2 linked regions of the Drosophila melanogaster genome follow. The gene in region 1 interacts genetically with each later gene. Each region holds a gene or a part of one and is shown on either strand. Other genes may lie near its edges.

The links.
Region 2: of aux (region 1) and Rab32, changing one enhances a phenotype caused by changing the other (phenotypic enhancement), as found in Drosophila melanogaster (one study listed by BioGRID).

Annotation. Positions count from the first base shown.
Region 1 is NT_033777.3:4,201,380-4,218,295, forward strand, and holds the start of aux (auxilin), read left to right. Parts: upstream 1-10,403; 5' UTR 10,404-10,433; intron 10,434-10,528; 5' UTR 10,529-10,536; intron 10,537-13,743; exon of another isoform or gene 13,744-13,935; intron 13,936-16,064; 5' UTR 16,065-16,188; intron 16,189-16,867; 5' UTR 16,868-16,916. Other genes in the region: beta-Man (beta-Mannosidase), read left to right, coding at 464-943, 997-1,418, 2,403-2,783, 2,834-3,094; CG14636 (uncharacterized protein), read right to left, coding at 3,217-4,386.
Region 2 is NT_033778.4:9,172,659-9,189,574, reverse strand, and holds Rab32 (Rab32), read left to right. Parts: upstream 1-8,276; 5' UTR 8,277-8,416; coding exon 8,417-9,826; intron 9,827-10,228; exon of another isoform or gene 10,229-10,349; coding exon 10,350-10,745; intron 10,746-10,825; coding exon 10,826-10,969; intron 10,970-11,030; coding exon 11,031-11,141; 3' UTR 11,142-11,711; downstream 11,712-16,916. Other genes in the region: CG8026 (uncharacterized protein), read left to right, coding at 355-508, 567-921, 1,310-1,455, 2,441-2,600; Rme-8 (receptor mediated endocytosis 8), read left to right, coding at 12,796-12,987, 13,042-13,182, 13,340-13,484, 13,641-13,842, 13,904-14,408, 14,466-14,644, 14,700-14,907, 14,965-15,375 and 4 more.

The sequences.
Region 1 (16,916 bases):
CAGCTTCTTTGAGCTGTATGTTAGTCGTATCTGGTTACGGCGTTAGAGTGGGCGTGTCAAAAACTTTCTTGGCTAATCGTTAGAAATTTAGAAAAATTATCAATATATTTTTAGTTAACAAATTTGCCCTGCGTATATGTCACTGAAATCTTCATTCCTAATCTCAACTAGCAGTTTTAGTTCTTGAGATCCTTATCAAGAATAAAGCTCGTATGGTCAAAAATCTGCATGCTTGTCTCAACATTTTTAATTGCACTAGTTGCCTTGCAATATATCTAACTCATATCATTAACTCATATCTATCTCATTTCTTTTTTGTGGTACCTAATATTTTTAAGTTACTTTCCCAAATACATCTATGTATCTGCCGCAGTCGCTTTTTAACTGGGTAACAAGTATCTGATAATCAAAGAACTCAACTATATCATTTTCTCTATTTTCAATTTTTATTGGTCATCCAAAGTTTCACATTTATTAAGGTCCGCCAAGGAAGCCCATATGAACATGCTTCGAGTCTGGGGAGGCGGAGTTTACGAATCGGACTACTTTTACCAGCTCGCCGACAGCTTGGGTCTTCTAATTTGGCAAGATATGATGTTTGCTTGTGCCATGTACCCGGTTAACGACGAATTCCTATCGTCAGTGCGTGAGGAGGTTCGCCAGAATGCCATGCGACTATCACACCATCCAAGCGTAGCCATTTTTGTGACCAATAACGAAAACGAAGCTGCTTTGGTACAGAACTGGTACGGCACGCTTTTCGAAAGAGATCGATTTGAGAGCGAGTACCGGGAGCTCTACCTTGCTAATGTCATCCACGAGTTGAAGCTTGTTTCGCATAGCTCTCGACCTCAGCCACTGGTCTCCTCACCTTCAAATGGCAAAGCTAGTGAACCGGACAACTATATTTCGAGCAACCCTCAGGATAACCAAAATGGCGATGGTAAGCAAAGCCTCCATTCATACAGCATATAATATGATATCTCTCTCTCTCAGTACATTTCTACGACTACACTAAGGACGGCTGGGATCCAGGAATTTTCCCACGTCCTCGATTCGTCAGTGAGTTCGGCTTTCAGAGCTTTCCAGGCGCATACGCATGGCAGCGCAGCAAGGGCGAGGACGATGACCTCCTCGGCCTGATCACACACCGACAACACCACCCACTGGGAAATGTTCCTGTTATCGCACTAGTGGAGAGACACCTACCGCTGCCCTTTCCAGAGAATGAGAACTACGCGACAGCACTGATTTACTTCAGCCAGATTGCTCAAGCCATGGCCACAAAGGTGGAAACCGAATTATACCGTAGCCTTCGGGACACTCCCCACAGAACGATGGGGGCCCTTTACTGGCAGCTGAATGATGTATGGGTGGCGCCATCCTGGTCCAGCATTGATTTCTACGGCAACTGGAAGGTGAGCCGTAATTTCATATCACTAGTCCACCGCAGCATGACTGCTGGTATTCATACCATTTTCATACATAGTGTAAAACAAGAAAAAAAGCTAAAAGCTAAGCTAACGCTGAAACTCATATACCCATGCAGTAACAATACGCAATATAGGCAAAATTATATGTGGCAAAAAAAGCTTGTATACACCGAATTAGAACACATCATGGAGAAAAACAAAAAGCGTAGAATTGGAATACCTGTTACTCGTAGAGTAGAGGGGTATGCTAGATATGCCAGGTAGAGGGAAACGTCTTTGACCCCAGACTACAAAGTATAGATGATGTTTGTTTCCAAATGTATAGCCATGTTGTCTATATCGCTGCGATGATTGCCTCTACTATCTTTCATCTACTATTCTTCTACTCTACTATTCTTTCATCGCGGGGCAAAATTCTGAAATCAGTAAACGCTCGGCAAGGGTAAAAATACACTACATCCGTTGAAAGATACAAAGAATCGCTTTAGCCGTTTTTCTCTGCCAGTCCGTCTGCCTGCCCGCGTAGTTTAAAATTTGACTGCAAAATTGATTTTAGTGACGCTTAAGCAGTTCAAATTTGGGTTAAAAGATTACCCTGTCAGCTCTAACACACATAAGGCAAAGAACCTGCCGCGGCCACATTTGTTAAAAATGTGTAATTTTGATAAGGTCATATATTTTTCGTACCTGCCGTAACGGAGCGTAACGGGGGTATTGACCACCCCCGGACACAAATTTACCCTATGCCGATTTGATAAAATATATTTAAAGACCGTTAGCGTGAATTTATTATGCTTATCGAGGGGAACTATGCAACCGCCACTGGGTGGATATACAACCACAAATAGGAAGCTTGTACGGAGTCCGAGGAACAGTTATATCTGTCTCGTATGAATGAAGCTATAGGCCCTAAAAACATTAAAATACTACTTTTATTTGTATATTATAAACAGCCATTCCTTCCTTTAGCTGCTCCATTACTGGGCACGTGATTTTCTAGCGCCTATTTCAATCGTTGCTCTTTACGAAAAGTCCACGGATTCGTTAAACATCTCCCTTATTTGTGACCAATTGGAGGTGGACCCAAGGGAACTGAATGTCGTAGCTAACGTTCACCTGTGGTCCCAGCTTCTGCCTCGGCAGTCCACCTCCTGGGATGTTACCCTGCGCCCCAATGGCGTGCAGTACGACAAGGTCATTGCCATCTCCGATCTGCTGCAAGGAGAGTTCACCAGAACTAACGCGTTTTTGGAGCTGCAGTTGCGCCGCGGGCAGGATGTGATCTCTAGGACCCACTTCTTTCCCAGTAGCATTGCCGGAGCAGTCGGAATAGAGGACCCCGGGCTTGAGGTGAGTAACCCAGTTTTGGAATGCCTCCAGCCTAATATCTAACTGTGCAGTTCGAGATTGCCTCCCGTACCTGTCTTAACACCACAAACGTCGTCCGCAACAGCGTCAGCATTAGCATACAGGTGAAGCGCCCCGCCGTATTTGTATACCTAGAGCTGCTCAAGCCATACCGCTACACCCTGTCCGAGAACGGATTTATGCAGACTGAGCCAATGCATGTCGTCTACCTAACGTTCGACGCACCCTTGTGCGCCCGCCTTTTGCGCAAGTCGGACCTCCGTGTGCTGACCGTCAACGACTTTATGAGATAGTACGGAACGTCTTCATTGACAACTTTAAATCAACGTTTTATAAATAGCTTAACAATATACAATTCAATAAATAGCAATTAGTGTTGAGCACCAAACACCAGTGGTTCTGATCAACTCCACACCTATCGGTCGAAACTGGGCATCTGTGCCCTTGGCGGCGTGTAACCCTCTGGATATGGCACCAACTGATTGTTCAGGACGCGAGCATTGCGCCAGGTCTTCACCTTGTCCTCCGCGCTGTCCGGAACTCGTACACCCTCGATTAGCGTTACAGCGGGGCCTTCTACAACACTTTGGATGCCGTGGCCGATAGGGTTGTGGTGTGGACTCCCGTGGCCGCCAGTTTGACGGCGCGGGATTGCGGTCGTGGACGTGGCAACGCCCGCACTGGCCGTCACTACTACAGAGTGTGGCAAGTAGGTCACGTATTTAGACTTTTGCGGTAGCGAGTTGTAGTTGTGCTTGGTTATGAGGTTGTGGGGACGGTGTCCCTGATTGGACACACTGCTGATATAGGCCCTAGTATCCCTTTCGCCCGCTAAGTACTCCTGTATGTCGGAAGCGGCGAACTCCGTGTCCCTGGAAGAGGAGAGCACAGGTCGATGCGACAATCGCTGCAATCGTGGCAGGATCTCCACCGAATCGTCCATGTCGAATGGTGGCCAATGGCGATCTGCTGCCAACGAAATGTTCTTGCGGAAAATTTTTGGTGTCTGGGTTGGAAGCTGAGGGCGGTAGTTTTCCCAGGACACGTCAACAGCGATCTGGCGACCACGGCGGAAGTCCCCCTGCACTGCCTGGTGCTCTATCATCTTGTTCTGCGCCTTGGACAGCTGCAGCTGGATAAGTTTAGCTTGGCGCTGCTCCGCCTCTGCCTTGCGCTGGTGATAAGCGCCCATCTCCTGAGCCAGTTCACTCTGCTTTAGTAATGCAGGGCTGTGCTGAAAGGTGATCTGGCGACCACTAGCGTTTACCCTGCCTGTGGGCGGTACGAGGCGCCGCTTGACATCCGCGCTTCGCACGAAAAAGGACCCTGCCGCATCCTCGGCGCGGGCCTTGCGACTGTTTTTCCCGACCAGGATTTCTACATCATCGCCCGTGCTGGACTTGAAGTTTATCACTCGCACCTTAGAGGGGTCAAGGTTCCGTCCAAAGCGCAATTCCGTCCGAACTAGGGCTGGCTTTCCGGTTACGCTCGGGCCTTCGTCTATGCGCGATAAGGATATACAGCTTGGCAAGCAGACCATAAGAACAATAAAGGATTGCCATCCCGAGCAGCGTGGCTTTGCCATCCTCAATATAGTGGCGGACGCTGCAAAGATAGCGCGATTAGTGATTTGGTTAAAAATTTGGCTTGATGATTATGTATGCAAAAAAATTGTATAACTTGTTGGGTGTTTGAAAGATACGTATGATGGACATTAAAATCGAATTTCTTATTTTGCCAAAATCTCTGAGGGTTGCATTCCATATAGTAACGATGAGCATGCAGGGTGTGGTGTGCGAGGCAATAACCCCCTGATATAAACATATAGCCGTAACATTAGCATCAAATTGTTGTCATAAACTCAGGGGAAATTGGAAAAATTAACATTTTGAAAATTGAACTATTTAGCCGCTGAAGAGAACGGTCCAATATGATTGCACTATTGTGTAGTAGGCTGCTCCTTCTACCCTCTTCCTTTACTCTTAGTCATACATACCTAATTATACATAGCCAATCTAGTCATAAGCTTATACACTCATACACCCATCCTTAACATACAAATATTATCGAGAAACTTATCGACTAATCGACTCGCCACTCTGCAGAGAGCGCGGCAGTCAGTCGCTGTTGAACCAAGCTAAAGGACAGATCAAAATAAAAGAGACACGTGAAATTGTATTAGAATATTAACTTCTGTAAACGGCGGCTAAAATCTCAGAAGTGGGATTAATAATCCAAAATGGACGATAAAATCATCCTGAACGACTTTTCGCTGACAACCCTAAAAGATTGGCTACGTATTCTGGGCCAAAATACGGAGGGCACAAAAACCGAATTAATCGCGAGGCTGCAAGACATCCCAACGGCAGTTCGGGGCGATTGTCCACCGGAGCACCCCCAGAAAAACGCTCCACCAGGAAACGACATTTTTTCTTCACTGGATTTTCAGAATTGTGAAATTAACACCGATCACGTAAGTGTGAATGCGATGAACAGAAAAGAATCAACCGAAACTGGCAGTGAGAGGGAGACAAACATGTTCGAGCTACAGCAACTACGCGCAGAGCTAGCAGAAGCGAAGGCAATGCTTAACGGAACACGATCGAGCTTGCAGTTCCAAGAACAACAACAACCAGAGCAAAGCAAGGCTACAGTTAGTTCCGTTATCCAGACGGCGCAGTTTACGCAGGCTGGCGCCACAAAAGAGAACACAACATTTCACTCGCCGCAGCGATCCAACGAGAGAGCGGAGAGCCAGCGTTTTCCAGTTGATGCTCTCGCTCTCGCCAAAGAGACGATAACCGATTACGATGGGAAAACTTGCGCGCGTGCCTGGATAACAGTGGTCAAAAATATCGCACGCACTTTCAACATCGATGACAACCATTTACGCATCTTACTCATCACTAAACTTAAAGGAAACGCGCAAGTCTGGTTACATGCGCACCCTGCTCGATTGATCGAACCAATTGACAATTTGCTTGATCAATTGTCATTGACTTTTGGCGAGCAATCATCCAAGGCTGAGATCCGGCGAAAATTCGAGAGTCGCAAGTGGAAAACCGAGGAGAATTTCTGCAGTTATTACGACGAGAAGATGGCTCTCTCAAACGGGATAAACATCGACGACGACGAACTACTGGACCAGATGATAGAGGGCATACCGCTACAAAATTTCCGTACCCAAGCACGGATTCAATGCTTCTCTACTCCATCGGAGATGCTACGCGCATTTTCGAACATCCGTTTGCCAGCTCGGAGGGAGCCACCTGTACAGCCAACCGACTACAAAGATGCCATACGATGCGCAAACTGTAATTCAAGAGGACACAAAGCTGACATCTGCAAGAAGCCCAAACGTGAACCAGGTTCGTGCTACGCCTGTGGACAACTTGGACACCTGGTGGCACAATGTCCCACAAGGAAGAGCGTTTCATCTAATAATTATGTAAGATGGTTTAAAATTAATTTTTTTGAAAATGCTTATAAGCCCATAATTTCAGAATGCCTCATAGACTCTGGCAGTCCTATATCTATCATTAAAAAGTCACTTATTAACGAGACAATGAAGTTAGCCCTAGTTAATACTTGCTATTTTGGTTTAAACAACTGTATTCTCAAAACACATGGACAAACCACATGTTATGTATTGAAAGGATCAATAAAAATATATTTTCGTTTAATCATTGTTTGCGACCAGTCTATGAGGTATAATGTTATTCTCGGCAGAGATTTTTTAACTGCATGCAATTTAAATTTAGACCCGTACACCTTGGGAATGATTGCGTTGAGAAAACCCATGGAAATAAACAAAATATCAATGTTTACTGAAAATGATAGTCCTGAGAAATCTTTAGAAAATGAAATTGTTAGTCCAAAATCGTTAGAGAATGAAATTGTTAGTTCACAATCGTTAGAAAATGAAATTGTTAGCCCCAAATCGTTAGAGAATGAAATTGTTAGTCCAAAATCGTTTAAAAATACAACTATTAGTCCGAAATCGTTAGAAAATAAAATCGTTAATCAACAGCATAAAGAAACTGGTCCAATATCGTTAAGAGATGAAATAGTTAATCAACAAAAGAATGTCAGTAAATCAAAATTATCAGAAGATGAAATTGTTAACACTTCAAAAGAAATCGTTAGTTTTAAATTGCCAAAAGATAAAAACGTTTACGAACAATTAAATCACAACTTTGATAAGGAAGTACTAAGAATATGTCATGTAACTGAAAGTGAGTTAGAATACAAAATAGGAGAAAATGTTAGCAATAGGTTACAACTAGAATTCGATAGGTTGTTTAGAAATTTTTATATAAATGCAAAAAGGCCAAATGAACCGACAGTTAGAAGTGAAATACAATTGTGTTTGAAAAACCCGAAACCGTTTAGCTGTTCTCCTAGGAGGCTTTCATACACAGAAAAAGACAGGTTACAAAAACTATTAGACGAATATTTGGAAAACGGATTTATACGACCAAGCGACTCGGAATATGCATCGCCTATTGTTTTAGTGAAAAAGAAAACTGGAGACTTACGTATGTGCGTCGACTTTAGAAAACTTAATAAAATGACAATGAAAGACAACTATCCTCTACCTCTTATAGATGACTTGTTAGATAGAATGAATGAGAAAACTGTTTTCACCAAACTCGATCTTAAAAACGGTTTTTTCCACGTGCATGTTAAAAAAGAATCAATAAAATACACCTCTTTCGTTACACCATTAGGCCAATACGAGTGGCTGCGAATGCCATTTGGCCTCAAAAACGCCCCGTCTGTGTTCCAAAGATTTGTTAACAAAATTTTTGCTGATATGATTAGAGAAAACAAAGTAGTAGTATATATGGACGACATTCTATTGGCAACCGAAAATATAAACGAACACTTAGAAACGTTGAAAGAAATTTTTAAAAGATTAGTTGAAAATAAACTTGAATTAAGAATAGACAAATGTGAGTTTATGCAATCGAGTATAAAATATCTTGGGTTCATAATAAATAAAGACGGCATAATGCCCAATGACAAAGGAATCGAGGCAATAAAAAATTTCCCAATACCTAATAATGCTCATACAGTACAAAGTTTTTTGGGATTATGCTCATATTTTCGACGGTTTATAAAAGATTTTTCTAGACTAGCTAAACCATTGCATGACATTCTAAAAAAAGATAAACCGTTCAAATTTGGTAGTGAAGAAATGATTTGTTTTAATATGTTAAAAGATAAATTAATACAGTCACCGGTCTTAGCTATATACAACCATAAACACGAAACAGAATTGCATTGTGATGCAAGTTCTTCTGGATTCGGTGCTGTACTTATGCAAAAGAAGGAGGACCAGAAATGGCACCCAGTTTCATTCTTTTCAAAACGGACAACAGATATTGAATCAAAATACCACAGTTTCGAGTTAGAAACTTTAGCCATTGTTTATTCGTTACGTAGATTTAGAGTTTATCTTCATTGGAGGACATTTAAAATAGTCACCGACTGCAACTCATTAATTTTGACCCTAAGCAAAAAAGAGCTAAACCCTAGGATAGCCAGGTGGGCTTTAGAATTCCAAGGTTATGATTTTGAAATTGTGCATAGGGCAGGTAGCCGCATGCAACATGTTGACGCACTGAGTAGGTGTACAAATATTATGGTAATACAAACAAACAGTTTCGAAGATAATCTAGTTATATGTCAAGGGAAAGATACAAAATTAAAAGAAATCAGGCAATTGTTAGAAAACACAGAAAATAAATTGTATGAGATGAGAAATGGTATAGTTTACAAAAAGACAAATGAAAATAGATTGCTGTTCTACGTTCCGATAGAAATGGAAGAACAAGTGTTATACAAATATCACAACGAACTTGGACACGTAGGAAGAGACAAAATGATAGAAGCTATAATGAAAAACTATTGGTTTCCAAATTTAAAACAGAAGTGTAGCACACATATCAGCAACTGTTTAAAATGTATTTCATTCAGTCCCAAAACAGGAAAAACAGAAGGATTTCTACACAACATACCTAAGGGAAACAAACCTTTTGAAATAATCCATATTGACCATTATGGTCCAGTAGACTTGGCTAGACCGAAGAAACATATTCTAGTGATAGTAGATGCATTCACAAAGTTTGTCAGACTATACGCAACAAAAACTACGAACACAAAAGAAGTCATACAATCGTTAAATGACTACTTCAGAGCATACAGTAGGCCTAAGTGTATCATATCAGATAGAGGAGCATGTTTCACGTCTGGCGATTTTGACTCATTTTTGAAAGAATGCAATGTTAAACACATAAAAATTGCAACAGGATCGCCACAAGCCAACGGTCAAGTTGAACGTATAAACCGAAGTCTTGGTCCAATGATTAGCAAGTTAATTGAACCTGATCAAGGTCTACACTGGGACTTAGTCTTAGAAAAGGTCGAATATACCCTGAACAATACACTACACCGCAGCATTAAACAGTATCCTAGCATAATGTTATTTGGGTTACAACAAAAAGGACAAATTATGGATGAGTTAAAAGAAAAAATTGAGGAAATTGGAGAAACGATTGAAGAAAGAGATTTAGAAAGTATTAGAAATAAAGGCGAGGCAAGTCAGAAAATAGCACAAGCATACAATAAAGAATATGTTGACAAAAAACGAAAACGATCAGGAGTGTTCACAAAAGGCGACTACGTCATGGTTAAAAATTTTGACTCAACAACAGGCATAGCTAAGAAGTTAATTCCAAAGCATAAAGGACCCTATGTCATAAGCAAAGTTCTCAAAAATGATCGCTTCCTTCTGGAAGATGTTGATGGATTTCAAATTTCTCGCAATCCTTACCGGGGTGTATGGAGCATACAGAATATAAAACACTGGCAAAGAAAAATTAAGAGTCTACAAAATAGAAAGTATAATTTGAGAAACTCTGTACAAAATAGAAAGTATAATTTGAGAAACTCTGTACAAAATAGAAAGTATAATTTAAGAAACTCTGTACGAAATAGAAAGTATAATTTAAGAAGCAATTGTAAAACAAAGAAAACAAACAAGAAGAAAAGAAAACCAAAAAAATGTTTAAGACCGTTCAAAAGTATCTCCACTAAGAAGAATAAAATAAGAAACAGGACCCTTAGCTTTAAGAAACGTTAATTGTTATAAAATCCTACGATCGGGAGATCTAGTTGTCAGGACGGCCGAGTTGTAGTAGGCTGCTCCTTCTACCCTCTTCCTTTACTCTTAGTCATACATACCTAATTATACATAGCCAATCTAGTCATAAGCTTATACACTCATACACCCATCCTTAACATACAAATATTATCGAGAAACTTATCGACTAATCGACTCGCCACTCTGCAGAGAGCGCGGCAGTCAGTCGCTGTTGAACCAAGCTAAAGGACAGATCAAAATAAAAGAGACACGTGAAATTGTATTAGAATATTAACTTCTGTAAACGGCGGCTAAAATTGTATTTTTTCTTATAACACACTTCAAAATAATTTCAACAGCCCGTTCATAAGGTACTAAAAAAAGATTTTACCATCCCTTTCGATGTGTTTTTTTCGATATAACCAGTCTCTGCCATCCATTGCTTTTTGTTTGTGCCGCAAGCTTCCAGTATTTATAAATTTCTGGTATCAAATTTCTGACGATAATAATAATAATATAATAATAATGGTTTTAATAAATTTATTAAAAATTAATTAAACTGGTTTCTTCCGCAACTTAGCTGACTTGGTATTAGAAATTAGGCGATAATCAACAAAAGTGGAAAACAAAAGTTAAGAATAGCTGTTAAAATAATGACGATTACCCGCTTCAGTGCTATTGCAATCAATATCCAATAAATAAGGAATGCTGGCTTAACAGATTTCCCGCGTGTTCTCAAATAAATTATTTACAGGCCAGGTATGGCTGCTCCTCTGCAGTTTGGCTGCTTTTGCGTGATGTGCTGGGTGCGTTGGGCTCAGAAAGCGAAACACCAAATAAATTGAAACTTTCGTTTGCACGCTACAGTTTTTACTTTGACGGAAACGATGCTGAAACGTCGAAAGCCGCATTTCCTGAGTAACAACGTGCTCTACCTAAGATCATTCATCTTCTGGTCGAATGAAACTGGAAAGTTCAACATTCAAAACAGAAGTAATCGATACCATAATTTGCATTAAATGAACCACAAATGAGAGATGAAAAATAAGATGATAAAGATTCGTCTAGAGATCTTTCTGTCTTTCTATTCTGCTGGGTAACGCTTTCTGTGAGCGGTCAATGCGACGATTACCGGCAATTCGATTTTCTCATCGGGCGTTGGCAAAGATATTACGCATACGCCTCGGTCACGCTAACGACAATCCAATAAGTAACTAATAAAGGAAAATTGGCCGACAAAAAGCTGAAAGAAACAATTAGGAAAATTGTAAATTGCGTTTTCAACTCAAACGCGGCCGCTAAAGTTCACGTCCGCCGCTACTATTGCCGCTGACAATGGAGCTCTGGGTGGCTAACCGAGCATTGCTCGTCGACGCAAATCGCTGCGCTCTGCTCGGCAAAACTTTCACTTTCAACTCGACTCGGCCAACTACATCGCTTTGCGCCTCTTCTCCAATACTCCTGCCTAAATCCACGCTATCGCTTCTTCCTATGACTTGGCTTGCTTGCAGGTGGCCATGAACCCTATTCCTAAAGATTACGCGGTCAGCAAATCGATTTATTGCTAGAAATCGGGACAAGGGCACAGCAAATACCTGTAAATTCTTTAGTGTTTTTCTTTGTTTCCAAAACATAGTTGCCAATTTTTCCATGATAAAATTGATTAGTATTAACCGATTTATTTTTATTTAATGATTGCAAAACTGTGCTACTAAATGCAATAGGTAGTCTTAAAATATTTCGGAATATCGACAGAATCTGGCAAGACAATTGTGTTAATTGTTCCCGAGACGAGATGTCATGCTGGCCAAGGTACTTCCTTAAATTGAAAATTAACTTCGCAAGACTAAACGTTATTATCGCCCTTTGTTCAAATTTGTCATGCACATAGAAATAATTACTAATTGTGCTAATAGCTGACACTTCAAATGAAAATGAAACATTCATTCGGAGGTTTATAATTTTTAAAGAAATCGAATAAAATGTACTCCCATTTGGACAAAACAGAATTTGTTTCGAAGAGCTTACTTTTACAATAGGTAGGCAAGCTTTACTTTCATTAGTATTTCAATAGTTTTTCGGAGAACCATTTTAAATAATTCTGAGAACACACTAGGCAAACAAGATAATTATACCACCTAATAGACCATGCTCATTGACAATCTCGATCGCATACCGATTCGACAAAGTTACCCTAAGAGCGTTAAAACTAGTTCCGAACTTGAACTGTACGGACTTTCAGGACTCTTTTCAGCCGTTCCGTCCTCTCCGGTCGGGAGACTTTGACAGAGTTGACACTGCAGTTAAATTTGGACAGCGGTCCGTCTTTTGGGTCACTGCTTACCGCTAAGAATTACGTCACTAACGCCATCTGAAGATTGTAGCGATGAGTAAGAGGCGGAAGCCAAGACATTCATCTCGAGCGTAGCCCACTGTTGCGGTCATAAGCGTCGCATAACAGCGGCTTGGGGACGAGTGATGAAATTTGAAATGCAGTCTGCACTTATAGTTTCCCTTGATTCGATTCGAGTCATGCAGAGAGCGATGTCTTTTGCATTCGGAATCCACTTAATCACGGGCTTACAGCCACGTTGCTTAGAATAGCTGCCCCGGCGAAACCAGCTCTCTCTGTGACCTAAAGAGGGGGAGGCTCAATTGGGCTTCCATTAACTTCTTGGGGCCCCTGTCAGGTGTCAATCAAGTCGAGTTTGCTCTGCAACGCGTCGGATATTGTGAGGCGGGCATACAACAAAGACTGAATTTAAATGGCGGCCACGCCTGCAATCGCTCACGCCTCCAGCTGGAGAGGTTGAACCCAAATCAAAGGGGTCGGTGGCACAAGTACACTGCGAGAATGAATATGATTCTTTCGGGGCTCAGCTCATACTTCAATTTACACGTCCCAGAGGGATTTGGACGTGGCCAGGGCTCGACCGGTACAGATATTACACATCAGCACAGCTACTTGGTGCTCCCCCTAACTCAGATTTTTTCCCGTGTAGCCCGCGTAGGCAATCGATTGTAATCGACGACGACGACGTTTTCTGTGCCTGCCAGCTGGTGCAGTGGCTGTCGCCACTGCCATGTGCGAAATGCAAATGCGAGGGGCGGCTAACGAAGCTAGTGCTGACTCGACCCGTAATATTTTACTTTTACTTTTTATGATTAACATTTCCCACCCAAGGTGGAGGGCCCAAAACGAGCTCTTTACTTATCCACACATTCGTATTTTCGTGGCGGACGATGCGCAATGAGATGAGAAATGCCGAGATCGTAACTTCCAAGATAGCTCGCCGCCGCGATGCCCAGCGTTAAATTATGTTTTTGTCTTTTAATTAACATTACTCGTGTTAGTCGCTTCCCTGCGCCCACCAACCCCCTCCCACTCGCCTCCCTTCTGGCACCGCTCCCACCTACCTACTTGGCCCTGGGTGTCGCAATTGAAAGTGAAACTCTGTTTCCTTTCGACTGCCAGTGGAGTCACAGGTTGGTGGGCCGATCTGGTCTCTTTGGGGGCCAACGCACGAGCTGAAGTGTGAAATGTGAAATGTGTCATCGTCTGGAGTGCGCTGTCCCGAGAGCGGATCTTCTAGGGCTTCCAGACTGAACAGGTTTCGTTGCGGTAGGTCGTACTAAAAGTCTGACACTGAAGACCCTCAAACCAGCCGGCTCGGCAATGGTTACCCGGGAATTACTTAAGAGTCGTATCAAAAGCTCAAAGTTGCGGTGGCCAGGTACTGTTATTGTACCAGCTTGATTGATGAACATCAAATGGCAGATAGTGCGCATACGCACCGTGTTACGCCAGAGACACTCACATTTCTTTAACCAGAAGCTCGATAGGACTTTCAGGGGTGGGCAACGCTCTGCCTCGTCTTCCGCCGAACAGGATGTGGTTCTGATGGTGGGACTCAACGTTTAGTTTCTCGCCAGCGGAGGTGATTTGAAAGCGCGACAGATCGCAGCGCGAACCGAAATACAACTGACGGTGGTTGAAAAGTTTTGCTTGCAAGTAAAAAAGCAGCGAGCTGGAAAACGGCAGAAAAAGTAAAATTATTATGTATACACATGTATGTTTAGAGGCCGATGGCGCAGGCAGCAGCAGACCGAGCGCTGCCAGCGATACTCAGCCAGAAAGCCAGAAAGCCAGACATACGGCAAAGTGGAGCTACGGATCCCGCCCGGTACCGCCCGAGCCCGTCTGTGGCTTCCCCCAACCGCCCCCCAACCGTCCTCCATGCTGCCCAATCGGGCCCAGAGCCGCCAAAGCCGAGGCTAAAACCATCTCCATCTCCGAGCCAAACCAAGGCGAAATTGCTCTCGGTATCAGCAACATTAACTGCGACTGAGTCGGTAAACAAAGCCAAAGCACGCCAAAAAAGAGGCAGCCGAAATGAGCAAGCAATTGCGCAATTGCGTCGCTGCCAGCAGCTCCAACATCAGCAGCAGCGATCGGTGCACAGTGGTACAAGCGCTGTTGCTTGATAGGATTGTGCCGATTAGGCCAATAAGGCCGATTAGGCCGACTAGGCTTCCGATACCTCCTCATATACTAGTGCGAGCAAAGACACTAGAATATTCTAGGGTCTTTGGTGCGAGCGATGCAGCATACATTTTATTTCACTGCTTCTCTTATCTAGAATAACTAAGTTTCTGGGAGTTTTCAAACGGAGTCCCACAGTGCGACGGCGTGCGGCTTCGGAGCTGTTTTATAATTTTTTTGCGTTTGTTCAATCTTGTTTCTTATTTTTGGGCAAGCGGCTGTATCTAGCTTGTCACTCAAAGGAAACATCTTCACTGTCTACCGCTAATTCCTCGGAATTTCAGCCAAACACTGGCTTCCTTTATCCATTGGGTGGAGGGATGTGGGGGAACATTGATTTCTATAAAAAACGAGTAGAATATTTAATGACTACCAAATAGAATATAGTTTCCAAAATTAAAAAATAATTCTAATGCTTACGAGAGAATAAAAAAAAGGTAATGACAAATAACCAAAAGTATCGCTATGGTTGTGCGCCTATTATACTAACCATTATAAATTGTTAAGTAAATAAATAAATACATACATATGACTTCAGTAATACTGAATAAAATAAATGTGTGGCTCGAAGAGAAGGTTGAGTGCACTTTTTGGTATTAAAGAGCAAAACTTATTCCAACTCAGAAATTCGAAAAAAGTTTACAAATGAGGCTGAATTCATACATATGTATGTAGATTTTCAAAGAATTTATTTTTGTCATTTACATACGTAAATCTTTTAATACGTGTTTACTGTGTTGAAAAGATAAATAACGGACTGAAAAAGCGGGGAAAAAGCCACTTTCAAAACAATCAGTGCGCCAATTTGCTAGAATTGATTCGAATTCGACTAACTCTGCTGCTAAGATCAAGGAATTGGTCGGAGTAAAGGCGCGATCAGAAATGCAGAACACCTGAAGCGTCTAAAAATCAAGAAAAAGCCCCTTTGAATGCATCACGCAAGGAAAGCGGCTTCAATTCGCGAAAAATATATATATTCCAATCTGACACTCGACTAAATGATTGGCGTTCAGTTGTCTTTACTGATGAAAAACTTTTTTATTTAGATGGCCCTGATGGCTTTTAATATTATTATCACGATTTGCGGAAAGATTAGCTATATTTAAGTCGCCATCATAACGGAGAAGAGGAATAATGACGTGCGGTGCTTTATGAAACAATTGACTTGATTTTTATCGACCGAAAGATGAATGGCGATCGCTTCAAAACATTGCTGGAGTCCGTATTTCCAAAATTTAAAGATCTCTTTCGACAAATTCCTTGGATTTTTCCACAAGGCAATGCTCGTATTCATTATTTCGAGTCAAAACGTTAATATCATGACCTGGCCACCATATTCTCCAGATCTTAACGTAACTGAAAAAGTTTTTTCGGGCTGGCTAACATTAGAAGGTATACACAGGAGAAAAGCAATACGAATATAAGAAAACATTAGCAGAGCTATTTAATATGCTTTGAGCGAAATTTCCTTGAAATTTCCATCCTAGATGTCTTGTACCAGGCTATAAAGGACCGGATTTATATAGTTATTACTAACAGTACTCATTACTAAAATTACTTTTTTATTTAAAAGAAGTGAAATAGTAATGCCAACTCATAATTTAACTTAAGTGGATCTAATACTTTACTTATAAAAATTAAAAAGACAAAGTGCGCCTATTCTAATGACCAAGAAAATTTCGCCTTATGTTGATTAAGTATGTATTTTGTTAAGTATGTATAATCATTTGAATATTAAATTGATGTATCATTAAATATGAAATGTTCTTGCATATCAACTTATTTTCGATCGTCAATTAATAAATAAATATGAAGCAAAGTTGTATGGAACTAAACATGCGTTTAACTTAGGATATGTATATATATATATATATATATATATATATATATATATACATATATTATATATATAAATATATAAATATATTTATATATTTAATTTGAATCGGTTCGTGGTGCGTTTCCGTGAGCTTAAATATTCAATTATTAAGTACAACATTTTTACCAAGAAACATTAACATTTAGATTTGTAAGTTTTGGTACGCGTAGTGACGAATAGCACCGATAGTGGAGTGCACTGCAATATTTCCATGCTGATTGAAACTGCAGAAAGTAAAAGTGAACATTTTTTAATAATTTTGAAAAACTAAAAATATACTCTTTTTGTTACATTCTGCTTGAATGCACCGTGCCAACTATTCCTTGTGGTTCAAATAACAACAGTGCGAAAATATTTAAAATATACGTATTGGCTTTGTTTTAAAACCCTCCAAATGACAATAAAGTAAGATTAATAAATGTTAGAATTATGTCTACATTTAAATATATTTAACTGGTAGCCATACGATTGTAGAATCTGCTCTTTCCCGCTTACAGATATACTTGTACTAAGGAAGAAGAAGGCTTTTGGAAAGTTTGCAACATC
Region 2 (16,916 bases), on another chromosome or scaffold:
TCATATAGAATATGTCGTCCCATATAAATAGCTAAGTATCTGCTAATGGGCGCGAAAACAAGTAGAGTGGCTGATTTCGACGCTCCCAGCTTATCGCATCCGCTGGCAATTAATGCTATCTATCTGCTTTTGGCGAAAACAACTTTGGCCACGGGCCTGGACTTGTTGGTTTCGGAGTCAACAACTGATATTCCCGTAGACGTACAGTTGCCTAGGTGAAGAGCAATACACACAATATGACGCATTCGCCGGCCCTTCAGTGACAGTATCCATAATCATAATCGTGCCAGACCCAAGGCTGCAATGTCTAGACATGTTTATCATTTACGAGCGTGATTCCTTCTCCACTTGCAGTTAACGATGGCCGGACAGCTACGGTGCCGCAATACCGGGGACTGAGCAGCGCCTTCACCACGATTTTCCGGCAAGAGGGCTTCCGCGGACTCTACAAAGGCGTCACCCCCAATGTCTGGGGATCGGGCTCCTCTTGGGGCCTGTACTTCATGTTGTAAGTACTTTGCTCTACTGATAATGGTAACAAACCTAAATGTAAATACTCCCTTCAGCTACAACACCATTAAGACATTTATCCAAGGAGGAAACACGACCATGCCATTGGGCCCCACAATGAACATGCTTGCAGCTGCTGAGTCGGGAATTCTCACCCTGCTGCTGACCAACCCCATCTGGGTGGTGAAGACGCGTCTCTGCCTGCAGTGCGATGCCGCGAGTAGTGCCGAGTACAGGGGCATGATCCACGCCTTGGGCCAGATATACAAGGAGGAGGGAATCCGTGGCCTGTACCGCGGCTTTGTTCCCGGCATGTTGGGCGTCTCCCACGGAGCCATCCAGTTCATGACCTACGAGGAGCTGAAGAACGCCTACAACGAATATCGCAAACTGCCCATCGACACGAAGCTGGTGAGTAGGCAGATCACAAATGACCAACCCATCACATGACCAAGCTGCGCGTGGCGTTGACATCGCCTATATACTAAATTGGGTGAACAGATGCGGTTAACTTAATAGCACAAAATTATTACTTATACAAATAACAAAATACTTTGAAGTCTTTAAGTTTAATGCGTAACGTTCAAAAATTGAAAATCTATCGAGTACTTTTTTTTCAATTACTTTTTTCGTTAGAAGACTTTCTTAATCAGAAAAATATTTGTTCGCTTTGTTATATTTTGTGTGACCACATCTGTATCTGTATCCGAATATATCTGGTTGTGATGACGTCTCCGCCATTTGGCAGCCATTCAGCTCATTCTGTTCGCCTCACTAATGTGTGCTCCCTCACCCACAGGCCACCACCGAGTACTTGGCCTTCGCGGCTGTCTCCAAGCTGATCGCAGCGGCGGCCACCTACCCGTACCAGGTGGTCCGGGCACGGCTGCAGGACCACCATCACCGATACAACGGCACCTGGGACTGCATCAAACAGACTTGGAGGTACGAGCGCATGCGAGGTTTCTATAAGGGCCTGGTGCCCTACCTGGTCCACGTCACGCCCAACATCTGCATGGTCATGCTGATCTGGGAGAAGCTGACCAGCTAGATGGAGTATTAGTACTAGATCATCGAATCTGGAATCTGACAGAGAATTTAAGCTAAGCACCTAGAATACACGAATCTTTCTCGTTTCCTCCGATGTGCAGCTAACAGCAGAAAATGACAAACTTATTCTGTATTATTGTTGTAACTCGATTTCGGTTTAGCCCTAGCACCTTACTTTAGCCTTAAGTGTATTCCATATCTAGTTTATTGTACATCCTTCACTCCCAACTTCGAAAGTAACTGATGTGATCGGGGCGTCGTCAAAATAGCCCCTGCCCATGAAATGTAATTTCAAAAACGCATTTCTTGCACTCTTCATCAAAACAAACACATATTTAGTTCTTAGTTTAGTTAAATTATTTATTCTATAACGGCTTGGAATTGTGTAAGCACAAAGAAAAACCAGTTACTGTTTAGTTGATACAAAATTTCGTTTTGGCAAAAAGATTCTTCATAGTTTTTGAAAATGGTTTATAATTTTAAGGATAAACCTTGACATTTATGTAAATAAGCATAAACGCATTGTGAAACCAACTTAGTCCTACAGTGGAACAATCTTATTGAAATCAAAGAAAAGATAAGAAATGCGAAATTACTTACCCATATTAAAAGGCCACGATGGCAGACCTAAATGAAAACCAAGAAACAAACTAAAGCAAACACTGTCAGCGCGTCCAGCCTGCGTCTTTTCATTTGTCCAAGGGCTCATGGCAGCTTGAGTAAGTAGTCCTTGCTCCTTCCGCTCCCTAAGTCTTCGATCACCCCCTTAATTGTGCAGAATCTCTTTGCTAATCTGAAACAGCCAATGCGCCCTTACTGTAAGTAGATGTAGCTTTCAGTTCTCAGTCTCTAACCGCATTGTGTTTGGTTCTCTTTGCAGGTTTGAGGGCTACAGAGGCTTCTACAAGGGGCTGAAGGCGAGTTTAACCCGAGTAGTGCCTGCCTGCATGGTCACCTTTCTGGTGTACGAGAACGTCTCGCATTTCCTGCTCGCCAGGCGGAAGCGAATTGAGACTAAAGAGGATGCGTCGGACGTGTGATTTTCCTTTGGTTGGATTCCTTTTAGGCTTCTAAGATACATATATCACCTCACGACATTTCCATATGTCTCTATAGTCAGCGGGCAGTTGCAATCGTGCTGAGCATGCGCAGCTGCTTTTAGTTTAAGTTTAGTTAGTTGTTGCGAAGACTTATTTGGTCTTTTCGTAGTAAGTAAAGTGATTGTTGTTCCTAAGTGTGGATCAGAATGGATTTGTGATTGAATTCAGACGAAAGTGTTACAATATACCTGTGAAATATAAGTCCATAGCCTCACTCTTGCAAATAAACCAAATCTTTGTGAGCCAAAGAATGCCTTTTTCTGGGTGTGATATCCTTGTTTAAATGAATAATAATAAAAAAAATAAACTATCTGGAAAATTATACCATCTGGCATCTTTATAGATCGTGTAAGCTTTGCAAAAAGCAACCACAGTGGTATCCCTCTAGGAGTAGTATATATTTTTATATTTGAATTAACGCCGCTCTAACTTAAAAATCGATTTACCGCCAAACGATGCGGATTTCAATCTAGTCCGACTCGGAGTCCGTTTAACGGTTTTCTACGTAGAGCTTTTCGCAAAGCTCTCGCTTTCGGATTTGTTCGTGCGACAAAGTTTTCCTTTTGTTTTCGGTTCAGTTATAAACTGAAATTACTGGAGGTCGGACGTCTCGAGGCTCGGAATCACTGTTGTTGTTGTTTTGCGCCGTCTTGGCTCGTGTTGTTGTTGTCTTGCGTAGTATTGCGTGCCTGGAAATCGAACGTGTGTGAATTTAATTTACGATTCGTATAATTATCAGCAAGAGCAAACAATATAAGTTGCAAACGACCGTTTAAGCCCTATGACACTAAGATCCAAAGTAAGTGGCTACCACCGAACTGTTCCATTTGCATTTGAAACCAGTTTCCAGCGATTCGAGTGCATGAAATTGTCCAAAAAAGTGCAACGGTCGAGTTCAACAAACCGATCGATTGAGATAACACCGCAAATATATAGCTGTGAAACTCGCAAATAAATACCTACATATTCTTCTGATAAGTTCAAGAACAGTCTAGCCATTGTTTACCGTTAGACCAGAACCACATGTTGCTCGGGATCCGCGTTCCGAAGAGCGAGAGTTATACGTCTGTGCCTGGAGAGGGCCACTAGAGCGCGTGTGAACGACCTTGACTGGGCGGGGGCGTTAGATAACTGCGGAGAAGGTCTAAAGATCACACTCACCCACCCCGTATCGGTGGTTGCATGGCAACCGGCGTCATCCAGAGTAGCGTTGTCTCCACCTCCGCCGGACGCCAGAATATCTGCGACTGCCTGGAACAGGAGTCCGCCGGATTGGTCAAGGCCCTGCCCAAATCCAAGTCGGCCGATCAGCTCTCGGAACTCACCTGCGCCTGCCTGCGCTGCCAGTACCTGGCCACGGATCTTCAGCATCCGAACACCCAGTCCGGTCACCTGCCCGTGGAGCACAGACACCGACCCGTGAGCTCAGGCTCCGGTTCACTGGGCGCCCTCAGCGCCAAGGAGTCGCCCATCTTCGTGCGCCGCCAGATCTGTTTCCCGTCCGCGGAGACCCAGCTGCATCCGCCGCTCAGCTCCTCCCAGTTCTCGCTGCGAAGTGCTTCTCCGGCCTACGCCGAGCCCAAGCCGGAGTTGGATCTCGGCGCCATAGAGGCGCTGCAACTGACCACGGTCATGCCCGCGGGAGTCAACCGTAACCACATGGACATCAACAGGAACAACGGATACCTGCACAACGGAGTAAGTACCTCCACCATAACCCGCAATGGAAAGTGTTTGCCTACAGCCGGCACGTGCCAAAATGTAATGTGGGGAGGAGGGACATACTTTAAACAATTAAAAGGGCGTGAACCCATATGTTAGGGATCAGAATGCACCTACATTCATATGTACTTGGTAATTACTGGTTATTATTTTTAATTTGAAAAAGGAAATCTTAAATAGTGAAGCATTAGCAAATAGTCATAGCACACCAACTTTCATGCGATTTTAAATTGGCGTTAAATGATGACTTTTCAAAAAAAAATATATACTCTTTTTTTTGCAAGTGTGGGAAATGCCCAAAAATAAGTTGGCCAAGTGTTGCAATGGCTTTCGCTATTTCGCCTCGTCAGGCCGTTAACACAACCAGCTTGTACTCATTAGCCGTTTTAGTTGCTCAGAGAACTTTGCGGAAACCCACCAGATGGGATTACGGAGCGTGAATAATGCACGGAATGTGGAATATCGCAATGGGGAATATCACAATGCACTGATACAAATAATTACATTTTAATTTAATTTCATCTAAGGATTTTTCCACGAACATTCTAATTTCCCTATTGAAATAAATATGAATCAAATTTAAGGCAAGTTCAAAAGTCCATAAATTAACATTTATATTTTAATACTATCTATACTATAGATAAAAATCGAAGCTTTTTTTTATCAGTGTACCCATTTTATTACGTTTTTCCACCCACACTACAAAATGAATTTCCCTTTCAGAATTAGTTTGCTTCTAATCTTCAATCGACCGATTGCCATTTTCCCAATGCCAATTTTACCAATTAAATGGTAATGAAATTACAATTGCTTTTTCATTGGATACCCAGCTCAGTTACAAGCCAGACGATAAAATCAAAACAATGTGAAGCGGGGCTACGGATATGGTCATACTACACATTCCACATAGAAGGGTCGGATTCGGGGACGGAACCATGTGGGTGTGTTGAGCTACTTAAGTGATTGCCGGGTTAGCCGGCTATAGATATCCGCTACTGTTGAGAAACTATAATGCGGATTGGAAGGAGGTAGGCTACGGATTCGGTTCATCAGACATAGGCAAAGTCACGTTTGAAGGTCAATTATGGAAGCAAGCTAGGAAAGTGTGGGCTCTTTAATTACTGCCTGGCATTTCCAGCATTTCCCATTTACACATCGCACATGCATGTAGCTCGCTCGATGAATCACAAGGTCTTATTGCATTTCGGCCACTATCTAATCAGGGCCCTCTCGCCTCCTCTTCCTCCCCCTTTTATGGGCGACTCCATTGCGTGATAAGATATGAGCTGGCACTACACTCCATGCCACCCACCGATAATACGCAAAGCAGCGTGTGCAGAGTCCATTGAGGGATCGCTGTACGCCACTCGCAGAGCATCCTCCTTATGTAATCGAGCTCCAACTCCCTCGGCGCATCGCTGGCCAAGGCAATGCACTCCACTTCACTCCGCAGTGTTGTTTGTGTGTCTTTACGTTTGTGGCCGACTGATTAATTTACATGACAATTGCCCGGGCAAACTGATAAGCATATGTACATATGTACATGCATGTACATATTTACTATGGTAACTGTAAGAGTATCGCTCTGCCGCCGCAGTATCGTATCACGCAATCCAGGTTGCCAATCTTAAAATTCCAATGCCAACTATCTTTGTGCACGCAGTCTCCATGTTTATCAACCTGCGATATTTTGAGGTATTATATTTAAACGAATGCTTTGAACTTTGACAGTTAAAGTACATCGCACTGAACTAACTTTCATTAAATAAAATTCATATTATTTATACGTAAATGTCGTACTTCAACAATTACTTAAATCATGGACTTTTAGTAATCAAAATAATTTTGGTTTTAATAGCATAGTATTCCTTATCAAATTGACAAATATTTGCAATAACTAACACCGCCGTCAACTTGTTATTCTACTTTTTACACTTACATATCAGATTTTATTGCATACTTTTGGGGTTCAGTTAGAAACCTTCGGATTAAACGACTGAAAATGGGCTTAGCCATAATAGTACTTTCCCAAGCTATCTAAAAAGACAGGTGTCTTTAGATTCGCTTGATTTTACGCCTGCCGTGATACATGCAATCCCAGTAGTTTCCATTCCAGGAACTCATTCACGTGCTCACTTCCTCTTGTTGAGCTCACTTGCACGTGATTGCTGGCCGATGCGGGTGGGGGGCTCCTAGCCACTGCCATTCGGTATCCGATTTACGGAAAAGAAGTCCGTGCAGGACTTCGCCACATCGGGGCATCCGTGTGGCTTTTGTTCGGAATGGGGTCGTCAGGGGGCACTTGCAGGCGCCTGACTTTCAGATGGAGGCCGAATGCTTCGCATAGCTCTTCTGTTTTCTGTTTTCCGGCTGGATTGCGTGTAAACATCTGCGGGCACAAAGGAACTCTTCCACGTTCGACATTTATGCGAAAGTGAATTTCTAATGCTTTCGGTTTCCAAGGCACATTATGGTTTAAAAGCCCTCTGCTCCGTAACTGGAATTTTTAAGGCTTGAGAAAATGTGTTTGCTGTAATCTCCCATGAATTATGTAAGCTGATTCGACTGTTGACTTGTCCCCGATTTCAGAATGTGCAAATCGGTTAGGCTACAGACAGCGCTCTTTATGGTGAATTACATTTAGAACGCTTTACTTTACTGTGCAATCGCATTGATTAATGCCTGGTCTAAATAACCAATAGCTATTAGTTTATAGGAAAATATAAGTCATCAAAGAACAATCACTTTCAATGATGTAGTGCTCCAAAAGAAAACGGCTTTCAGAAAACAGGATGGATAAGTAGTAATCTAGCAATATTGCAAATGGGTTGTTTTAAAGGAATCTGAAATGGTTACTAACCCTAGTGATAAGCATAAAGCTAATCAAATATAGGCAAATATTGTTTTTACCAATAAATTATTCTTTAATTTAATTTATAGTCAAACTATAAGTTCAAAAGGGTGTTTGGTAATAATACTATACATTTTTAAAAGTATTGATAACTACCCCACTGCTCAATGATATCGCAACCGCAGCAAAGTGCCTGTATAAGGAACTGTAATATCTAATTAAGTCAGATCTGAAGCAACTTCCGTACATCTGTAAGATACGATCTATCCATACATACATACATACATATGTGTGCCATCCCGTTTGCGTTTCGGGTTATTACTTGGGTAATCGTATATGGGCCACATATCTCCTTCCCTGTCGCTCTGCTCGATGCACTGCGGCTAACCACGTTTTGTAATAAGCGTAATTCTATATAGTCACGTCGAGCAGTAAGTCGACAGTCGGCCAAGACAGCGGCCAATCCGCCAGATTGATGTGTCGCCCACTTAATGCCGAGCGACTCTTTTGGGACAAGTTGATGCGGCAAATCCTCAGCTTAAAGGAAGCCCGCCAAGTGCGGCGGAGCACGTTCTGGGTTGCTTGGAGAGGTCAGGTCCAGATATGGACACTGGGCGCCCTGCTCCACTGGTTGTGCCGGATGATTGGGTGCTCGTCATCGTAGCATCACGGCATCATGGCATTATGCATTACCTCGATCCAAATTATAGAGCCCAGTGATTCCGGAGCAGGGCTAACCAGCCGGACAACTGGCGTCGATTATGGCGGGCCACCGGACACTGGCCAATCTTTGTCCGGGGATTGCTTGATAAGCGGGTGCCAGCCGTCCAATCGGCCCATTCAAAGGCCCACCGGCTCTTCTCACGCTCATTTCGCAAGCGATTTGGAGGCGGCAACCAGTGTTGGTAAGCACCTGGCCAGCTATAGCGATTTTCGTAACTGTAATGCTAAACCTCTCACCACAAAAGGGGATGGTGCGGGGGCGGGACCAACGGGGCGAATACAAAATTTATAAAAGCCTAGTCGTCGGCACTGGGGATTTTAGTGCGCGTTCGTTTAGTCTGGGCAACGGTTGCTTAAAAAAAAAAAGCTCGAGGATCGTGCAGGATCAGGACTGGAAATCAAGCTGGAGCAAATGGAATCTGTGTAGAATCGCTAGGGATCAACAGCGTCAGTTGAAAATATGCCCAACGTGGACGAGCAGCGGGGAAAAGCAGCTACAAAGAGAGCGGAATCGGAGCAATCGGAGGAAAAGGGTGACCGCCAGGAGGGGGACGGGGATCCGAAAGACGAGTCTGAGGAGGCCACCGCGAAGATCAAGGGCCGTTCCCGATTCACTGCGGCTCTGCGAAGCCTCTCGAAGACCAAAACCAAAAGGGAAAGGGAGCTGGATAAAAGCACCGACAGGGAAACACGCAGCGCGGAGGAAGAGGCTCAGGAAACCCCAGGCGAGCTCGAAGACGTGGCCAGCTCCATCTCCACGGACAGTGGAGCCCTCGGCAAGACCAAGAAAAAGAGCCTGACGCGCCGCCTGCTTCTTGGAGGCCTGAGAAAAAGTGGGAAAACGCCGAAGGGGCGGCCCCACAGCTTGGCGACCAGCGACGACATCAGCGTGGAGCACCTGGAAACAACACCCCTGCCATCGCCACCCGGTTCGCCCACCTCCGCCGGCAGCAGCACGCTGCAGATCACCATCAGTGGCAAGAAGGTGGAGCCATCGCCCGCCAAGAAGAGCGGCAAGAGCAGACCCAAGAGCGACACGGATTATCTGACACCCGCCGCAGAAGAAAGGAAACCGAGAAAGAAAACCACTACCACCACCGTGACCACGAGAGATACGAGCAGCAGCACCCGCACCACCAAGCTGCTGGTGTCGAAGAAGAAGCCCCAGAGCCCCGAGAGAGAGTCCCCATCGGCGTCGCCGTCGCCGCTTATCACCACCACCGAGAGCACGCGCGATACGCCGCCCAGAGAACGGGCGCCAGCAAAACCAAGTCGCGTTCAGTCAGCCAGCGGCACCGGAGCTGTTCGCAAGTCCCAATCCTCGAGCGCATCCAGCAGGAAGCTGGAATTGATGCAGCAGCAGCAGCAGCGCGGCCACCGCCTCAACGCCAGACCACTGGCTGAACTAGCGAACACGGAACCCCAGCCATCAGGGCAGCAATCCCTGGACCCATCCACATCCCCTCCGGCGGCTGAGGACGGAGTCTCCTCGGCGGAAAGCGCCCAGACTATTGCTAATCCCCCGCCCGTTGTCCGCTTTGAAGTGGGCAGTGCAGTCAGGAGTCCCTTGAGTGCCTACGAAGCCGCATTGGCCGCCGCCGCCAGTCAACAGCCCAACTCCAACGAAGAGCTCAGCGACTCCAGCATCCGGCGTCTCAGCTTCGCTCAGCAGCAGCTCATCCTCGGCGACCACGACAGCATCGAGGGCAGGCGGGAAACACTGCACTATCAGTCGGTGGCTAGTGAATACTCCAACCAGGACTCCGGATCCGAGGACGATAGCGAGGAGCAGGCGGATACCACAGAGCCAGAGAACGCCAAGCCCATGCCGGCCTTCGGTGACCTGACCATGGATCAGGAAATGGAACCGGTAAGGTCTCGTCGTCGTCGGATTGCCAATTCGCCAGTTGTCATTTACCTACGAAGAAGCGAAGAAGCCCCACAAGTGATATGTTGGCCCCCTTATAGTGTGTGTTCCAGAGTGTCATTCAACTGTGCGGGCGGCGGGCGGTGGTAATAGCCCAGGGGGTCTCGTCAACTAACCAGCAAATCTCAGTGCGGATTGACGAGCAGCAGAAGGTGTAACTAATACCAGGCTTAGAATTTATTAAAGTGGTGAATTCTCACTTCCTATATTATATATTGATATGCTTTTATATAACTGAGTGTAAACGTGCTATGATAGAACAAACTTTACTACTTATTATAATTCGAAATGCACGGATTATTTATATTTGTATCTTGAAACCCAGAGCCCAAAAGTATGTATCTCTTTATCTTGAGATTTCAAGTCACAAGTGGGATTTCATTGTTTAGTGTATCAAATTTATCAAACTATTCTATTAAGCATGGATCGAACATACAAGTAACTCTCATCCAATCCTTGCTTGCAGGCCATCATGACATCCACCAGCGATAAGCGCGAGCATCTGTACAAGATTCTAGTCATTGGTGAACTGGGCACCGGCAAGACGTCCTTCATTAAGCGCTATGTGCACCAGTTCTTCAGCCAGAACTACAGGGCCACCATCGGCGTGGACTTCGCCCTGAAAGTGCTGCAGTGGGACGCCAATACGATAGTGCGCCTCCAGCTGTGGGATATCGCCGGTCAGGAGAGGTTTGGCAACATGACCCGTGTCTACTACAAGGAGGCGGTGGGCGCGTTCATCGTTTTTGATGTGACTCGCAGTGGGACTTTCGATTGCGTGAGCAAGTGGAAGGAAGATCTAGACTCCAAGGTGCAGCTGCCGGACGGCAGTCCCATTCCGTGCATCCTGCTGGCCAATAAAGTAAGTGATTGCCTAAAGGTTAAAGGAGACCGCATAATTTCTATATTATGTGATTAATACGTTGCTCATCCGTTTTCCAGTGCGACCAGGAAAAGCAGGGCATCATAACGCAGCCCGAGAAGATGGATGAGTATGTGAGGGAGAACGGATTTGCCGGTTGGTTTGAGACATCCGCCAAGGAGAATATCAACATCGATGAGGCAGCTCGTGCCCTCGTGAATAAGGTGATAATCGCTGCTAATGCCCAGCCAAAGCCCCGCTAATCTTCTTCCACTCGCCCGACAGATACTCATCAACGATAAGCTGATATCTGCCGATCTGGCCGATGGCGACAAGTTCAACTTGAGCGCGGCCGATGCAACCGGATCGGATGCCAAGAACAAGTGTTCCTGCTGACCTGGGACCGAGGTCCGGCGACTCCTATTCCCATTCCCAGTTTAAGAGCGAGTTTCAACACAGAAACGCCATGTGCCTACGTCCACTCCATGTTCATGTTGTTAGAAGATAGCGATAACTATGCTTAGGGTTTTAACGTAACATTTGTCTAAGACTTAGTGTCATCCGTATCATCCCGTCCGTCTTTATCTTTAACACCCCGTCTGTGGGTCCACAATGTTGCGCCGGCATCGGGATCCGTGTCACTTTGAGAATTTATATGGTGACACATAACATACCTACGCATACGAAACATTATTACTATCACCATCATTGCCCTAGTTGCGAGGATTAGCCGGAGGTAGTGCAGCATCCGTATCATAGCATACTACATTTGTGTAAAATGCGAATCGTCTTATTGTTTTGTTTGTTTTATTTGCCTCTGCTGGCGAGATTGTTTTATCTTGGAATTATTATTCTCGTATGCAAACACACTCTGCCATCATTATTTGTATTTAGATAACAATACGTACGCTTAATGCAATGCGAAATCAGAAATAAAGTTTTTAATGGTAGTTAAGTTCAGACGACGTGTTTTATTGGCTGAATAAATTCTGTGTAAGTGCTTTTGTGATACAATGAAAATGTTATGCTACTAGTATTTGCCTTCATTGAATCACTGGTCTTTGTAAATAAATACGAATAAAAGCTTTGTTTTTACATTTCCTTTTTTAACGGTAAAAAATCGTATCCCCAACCGGCAATGTTTTTCTTTTTTTTTAATATTCAAACTATCGATAGTTATCAACTATGGTATTCCTTATTGTTTAGTGATCACATATTAAACTTAAAAATAATGATATACAGATAAAAGTGTCGTGCGTTCATATTCTACATAAAATTATTAGCAATTATTTAATCGTTATGAAAAGCGAAACGTATAAACTGGTAATTGGTATGGGAAAAATTGGGAAAAAGCTGGAATCAGGTTTAATTGCAATTTGGTTTTATAAAATGTTTTATGGCACAAACAAACATCCTGACTCAAAAGTGAATTAAGCTTGAAACTTAAATACTCCGAGAATACCGTGAATATGCGTTTACCAATTGCTGCTGAACGGGACCACTATCGATAGAACCTTACAAACTATCGAATCGCTGCAAGACTATTGCCATCGATACTTGCACCTCTATTTATTAGTGTTGTGTAGCCGTGTTACTGCTAAATTGTTTATTGCAAAAATTCCGCAAACGAGAGATATTAGGAATAGAAGACAATATAACAATTGGGCAAAATGTGTTAGATGTTTAAGGTAAGCCACCGCCAGGGCTGCAGCTCGGCGGAGCCGTATCCAACGGTCCGCGCTCTGGGGGCCGCAGCATTCCGCACTCGTCACGTTTACTCCCCTTTTCTGGTCTTTGTTGGGGCTCCGTTGGCACTTCTGCTGATAAGTGCCCAAGTCGACTTAATTAATCAGTGCCCTGGAGTCGGGGGCAAGTCAATTGGATATTTGGAAACCGCTGGGAACGTGAACCAGCTGCGCGCCCGAAAGACCAGTCATGAATTGCCGCGGCTCTGATTTGACTCCCGTTCCCACACTCCATATCTCACTCACTTTCAGTTGCTGACTAATACTGGGTGGAAGGTAATCAGTTGGAATCGTCACAAGAAACGATGCTGCCGCCTAAGGAAAACGTCGATCTGGAGTGCTTCCTGGTGACCAAGCACTCCTGGAAGGGCAGGTATAAGCGCATCCTCTCCATCGGCACGGCCGGCATATCCACCTACAATCCGGACAAGCTTGACCTGACTAACAGGTGGTCCTATTCGGACATCGTAGCAGCAGCACCCTCAAAGACCACAAATGTGAGTTTATAAGATCCTACGGAGAGCTCGGAACTAAATAAATTGATCTTTCAGATACCCCATGACTTCGTGATTACCATCAAAAAGGATAAGAAACTAGATACAATCAAGTTATCGTCGGAATATCGGAACGATATCCTAAGCTCTATATTAAAGTACTACAAAGAGTTTGCGGACAAGCCGAAAAATGCTCAGGTTGGTTTTTGAGTCTCGCTTTAAATCCTATACTAATTTGGAAACACTTCTCCAACATTTCATGTGTGATTCAGATGTTTCTAATTAACATTTAAATATGCAATATGAATTCTAATCTGTCAAAATTTTAATTTTGAATACTATCTAAATTTTGTAGCGCTTTAGTGCTTACAAATACCACTGGTCGGGCATCAGTCTTCCCACAGTACTGGAGGTCACGCCCTGTTCTCTGGACCAGCTCGATCCCACCACCAACGACGTGCTGGCCAGCTATATGTACAAGGATATCGAGGGAATAATAGGTAGCTATGCACATTCGACTCGCTTGCATCAATTAATGTGTCTTGTTTTGTCCTCATGTGCCTCAATTACAATTCAATATGATCGCTCCGTGTTTTGTTCTTTTTTTTATTTTTGGTTACTTGCCGCACTCATCTTTCTTCCGCACACGTTTTAAGCAGGCATCTCGGACTATGAGGGAGGAATCGTGATGGCCTACGGCGGATTCAGTCGCCTCCATTTGTTTAAGGCGCTGAATCACCACGAAATCGTGCAGAACATAGCACAGAGATCGGCTCAGTTTCTGGGCATCGAAACCAAAATACTCAAGAGTCAGATCACTCTGGAGCAGTTCGAGAGGCAGCGGTTCGGCAAGTTTAGGTAAGTTCATGTGAAACGCAATAAAGAATTTGTAGAAAAAAAAAGCCATATAATATTTCAGTGGTGACCAGTTTCAAACCTCGTCGACCGAATTCTCGGTTCATAAGATAACGCCCCGCCATCCGGATCCGGTGAAGCGTATACTCTGCCTCACCGAGGTAACGCTGCTGGAGCGGGATCCTCAAACCTACAGCGTCTGCACCCTGCGTCCGCTCACTGATGTGTTTGCCTTAGTTAGAGACAAGGACAATCTTCAGCGCTTCAGCATCGAGTACAAGAATGGAATCGTGCGCAACTACAGCACCAACGACCGCGACTCATTGTTGGCCACTGTTCTGGATGCTGTCCGCTCCAGTGGCAATCAGGATGTGCACGTCCGCATTGGCAACACGCCGCGAGGGAAACGGTATGTGCCATTGAACAGCTCGGTGGACGAGGAGACGGAGGCGAATTTGATGCGCCTGGTTATCAACAATTTTCAAAACCCCTCTAAGCGGTATGAGATCTTGGAGCGCTTTAATGCCAATGTGCCTCACAGTGGCCTCAACTACAGTGTAACTCAGGATGTAGGTTAACCTAATGCTCGGATTCCGGTTCAACCTAACTAATGTTTCGTTTCACAGAGCTTGTTTGCTGAAAACAAAGATAAACTTATCCTGAGTGCCCTGCAAGCGTTGGCTCAAAAGGAGCTGGACAGCCCTACGGCCCAGCTGAGCAACTTGGAGCTGGAGGCTATCTTTCACGCTCTTACTCGTCTTCTCGCTAGCAAAGTTGGATACGCAGCCTTTACGAATCTCCCGGGGTAATATATTCTAGTTTCGTACTAATAGCATTGTTAATGTTTGAATACATTTCAGCTTTCGTGAGATTATCGGTACAAAGGTGGTGGCTGCTTTAAGACGCAAGGATTTGGCTGTGACATACTCCGCCATTGACATGATTAACTCGCTAATGCATTCTGTGAATTCTGACCATGATTTAAAACAGGAGCAACTTAACAAGTCATCCATTCTGTCATCAAAATCGTTTCTGGAAACTTTGCTCAACATGTGGACAACCCATGTGGTAATGTAACCATTCTAGAGTGCGGTCAATTCGTTTTGTAACTATTTATGATTTCAGAGCCATGGCAGTGGTGCTCTGGTACTCTCAGCCATGCTGGACTTCATGACCTTTGCCTTGTGTGTGCCTTACAGCGAGACCACTGACGGCAAGCAGTTCGATACTCTGCTGGAGCTGGTTGCCGATCGTGGACGCTATTTGTACAAACTGTTCCAGCATCCCTCGCTGGCGATCGTGAAGGGAGCTGGATTGGTGCTGCGGGCCATTATTGAAGAAGGCGAGCTGCAAGTGGCTCAGCAAATGCAAGCATTGGCTTTGGATGAGGCTGCGCTGTGCCGCCACTTACTGGTGGCACTGTATACGCCCTCCAATGATCCCACACAGACCACGCAACGTCAGTTGTCGCGGCATTTGATCGGGCTGTGGCTAACAGATAGTGAGGAGGCCATGGAACTCTTTAAACGCATATTCGTGAGTTATTCGAAATGTCCAATTCAATCAAGTTTGTCATATTATTTAAAATTACCAGCCCGCTGGCCTGTTAACCTTTTTGGAATCTGAGGAGACTGTTCCAGAGTCGGATGTCGAGGAGGACAAGCTAAACTTTCGTGACAATCTCAAATTTGCAATACAACATTCCAACAAAACTCGCAAGAATGTGATAGAGAAGCATTTACAAGGCATTAAGCATTGGGGCATGAACCTAATTGAGAAACAGGACGGAGCGGCTCAGGCGCTAAAGAATCGCCCTGTTGTGCTGAGAAATCGACGCCAGAAGAAAAAGACATCTGATGTTGTAGTGAATCTGCCCTTCTTCTTTTACAGCTTTGCCAAAGATCACAGTCTCCCCAATTTAATATGGAATCACAAGGTATTCATACATTACATTTTTAATATTAATTGATAGATTCCAATAAAATATTTTCGCAGACCCGCGAAGAACTGCGTATGTGTTTGGAGAATGAGCTGCGGCAATTTCTTAATGATCGTGACTTAGCTGGTCAAATGATTGTGGCATGGAATTATCAGGAATTCGAGGTTGCCTATCAATGTTTAGCTGACGAAATTAAAATTGGTGACTACTACATTCGTTTGATACTGGAGAAGGACGACTGGCCGCAAAATCTAGTAAAGGATCCGTAAGTTTCCTTAATTGCTTTAGTTAATTATGGATGTAAACATAGTTATCTCTCTAGGATTGAACTCTTTAATGCATTGTATAGACGTGTGTTGTGCCGACAACGCGTAAATGATGACCAAATGACGGTGTTTTCCCTCCAGGCTTTGGCTAAGGTTTACCGACGTTACCACGCCGAGATTGGCAAGTTCAACGATATGTCTTACATTCTGCAGCTCAGTGATAGGGTGAGTCCAACACAAAAATTTTAAGTTAGGGCTCTCCATTAATACTTCACGTCCCTTTAGTGCCTTTCACCTTCAATGCGCGATGCACTGATCAACCTAATATCTTGCCTGGTGCTAGAGAAATCGAACAGTCGAGCCCTTATCGATCACGTGCAATGCCTAGTAGATCTCATCACTTTAGCCCATTTACACAAGGGACGGGCGCAGCTCAATACCAAAACAAATGTTATTGAAGCGGGTCCCAATATGGGTACATACGAAGAAAAGGATTGGTACTACAACATTGAGAAGGATGGCCAAAAGCCGGAGCGTCAGGGACCTATTACATACTCGGAACTCAAGGAATTGTGGCAGAAGGGATTAATCACACCAAAGACCCGATGCTGGGCTATTGGCATGGATGGTTGGCGATCGCTTCAGCAGATCCCACAGCTAAAATGGTGTCTAATTGCCAAAGGCACACCGCTTTACGACGAGACTGAATTGTCCTCAAAGATCCTAGACATTTTGATAAAGTGCACTAGCTTCTTTCCGAGTCGCACCCAAAATGGCGTGGCAGTTCTTATTCCAGGTCCAAAGTTGTCTCGCAAACTTTCGGAGTTCATCTGCTTGCCGCATGTGGTACAAGTTTGCCTTACCCACGATCC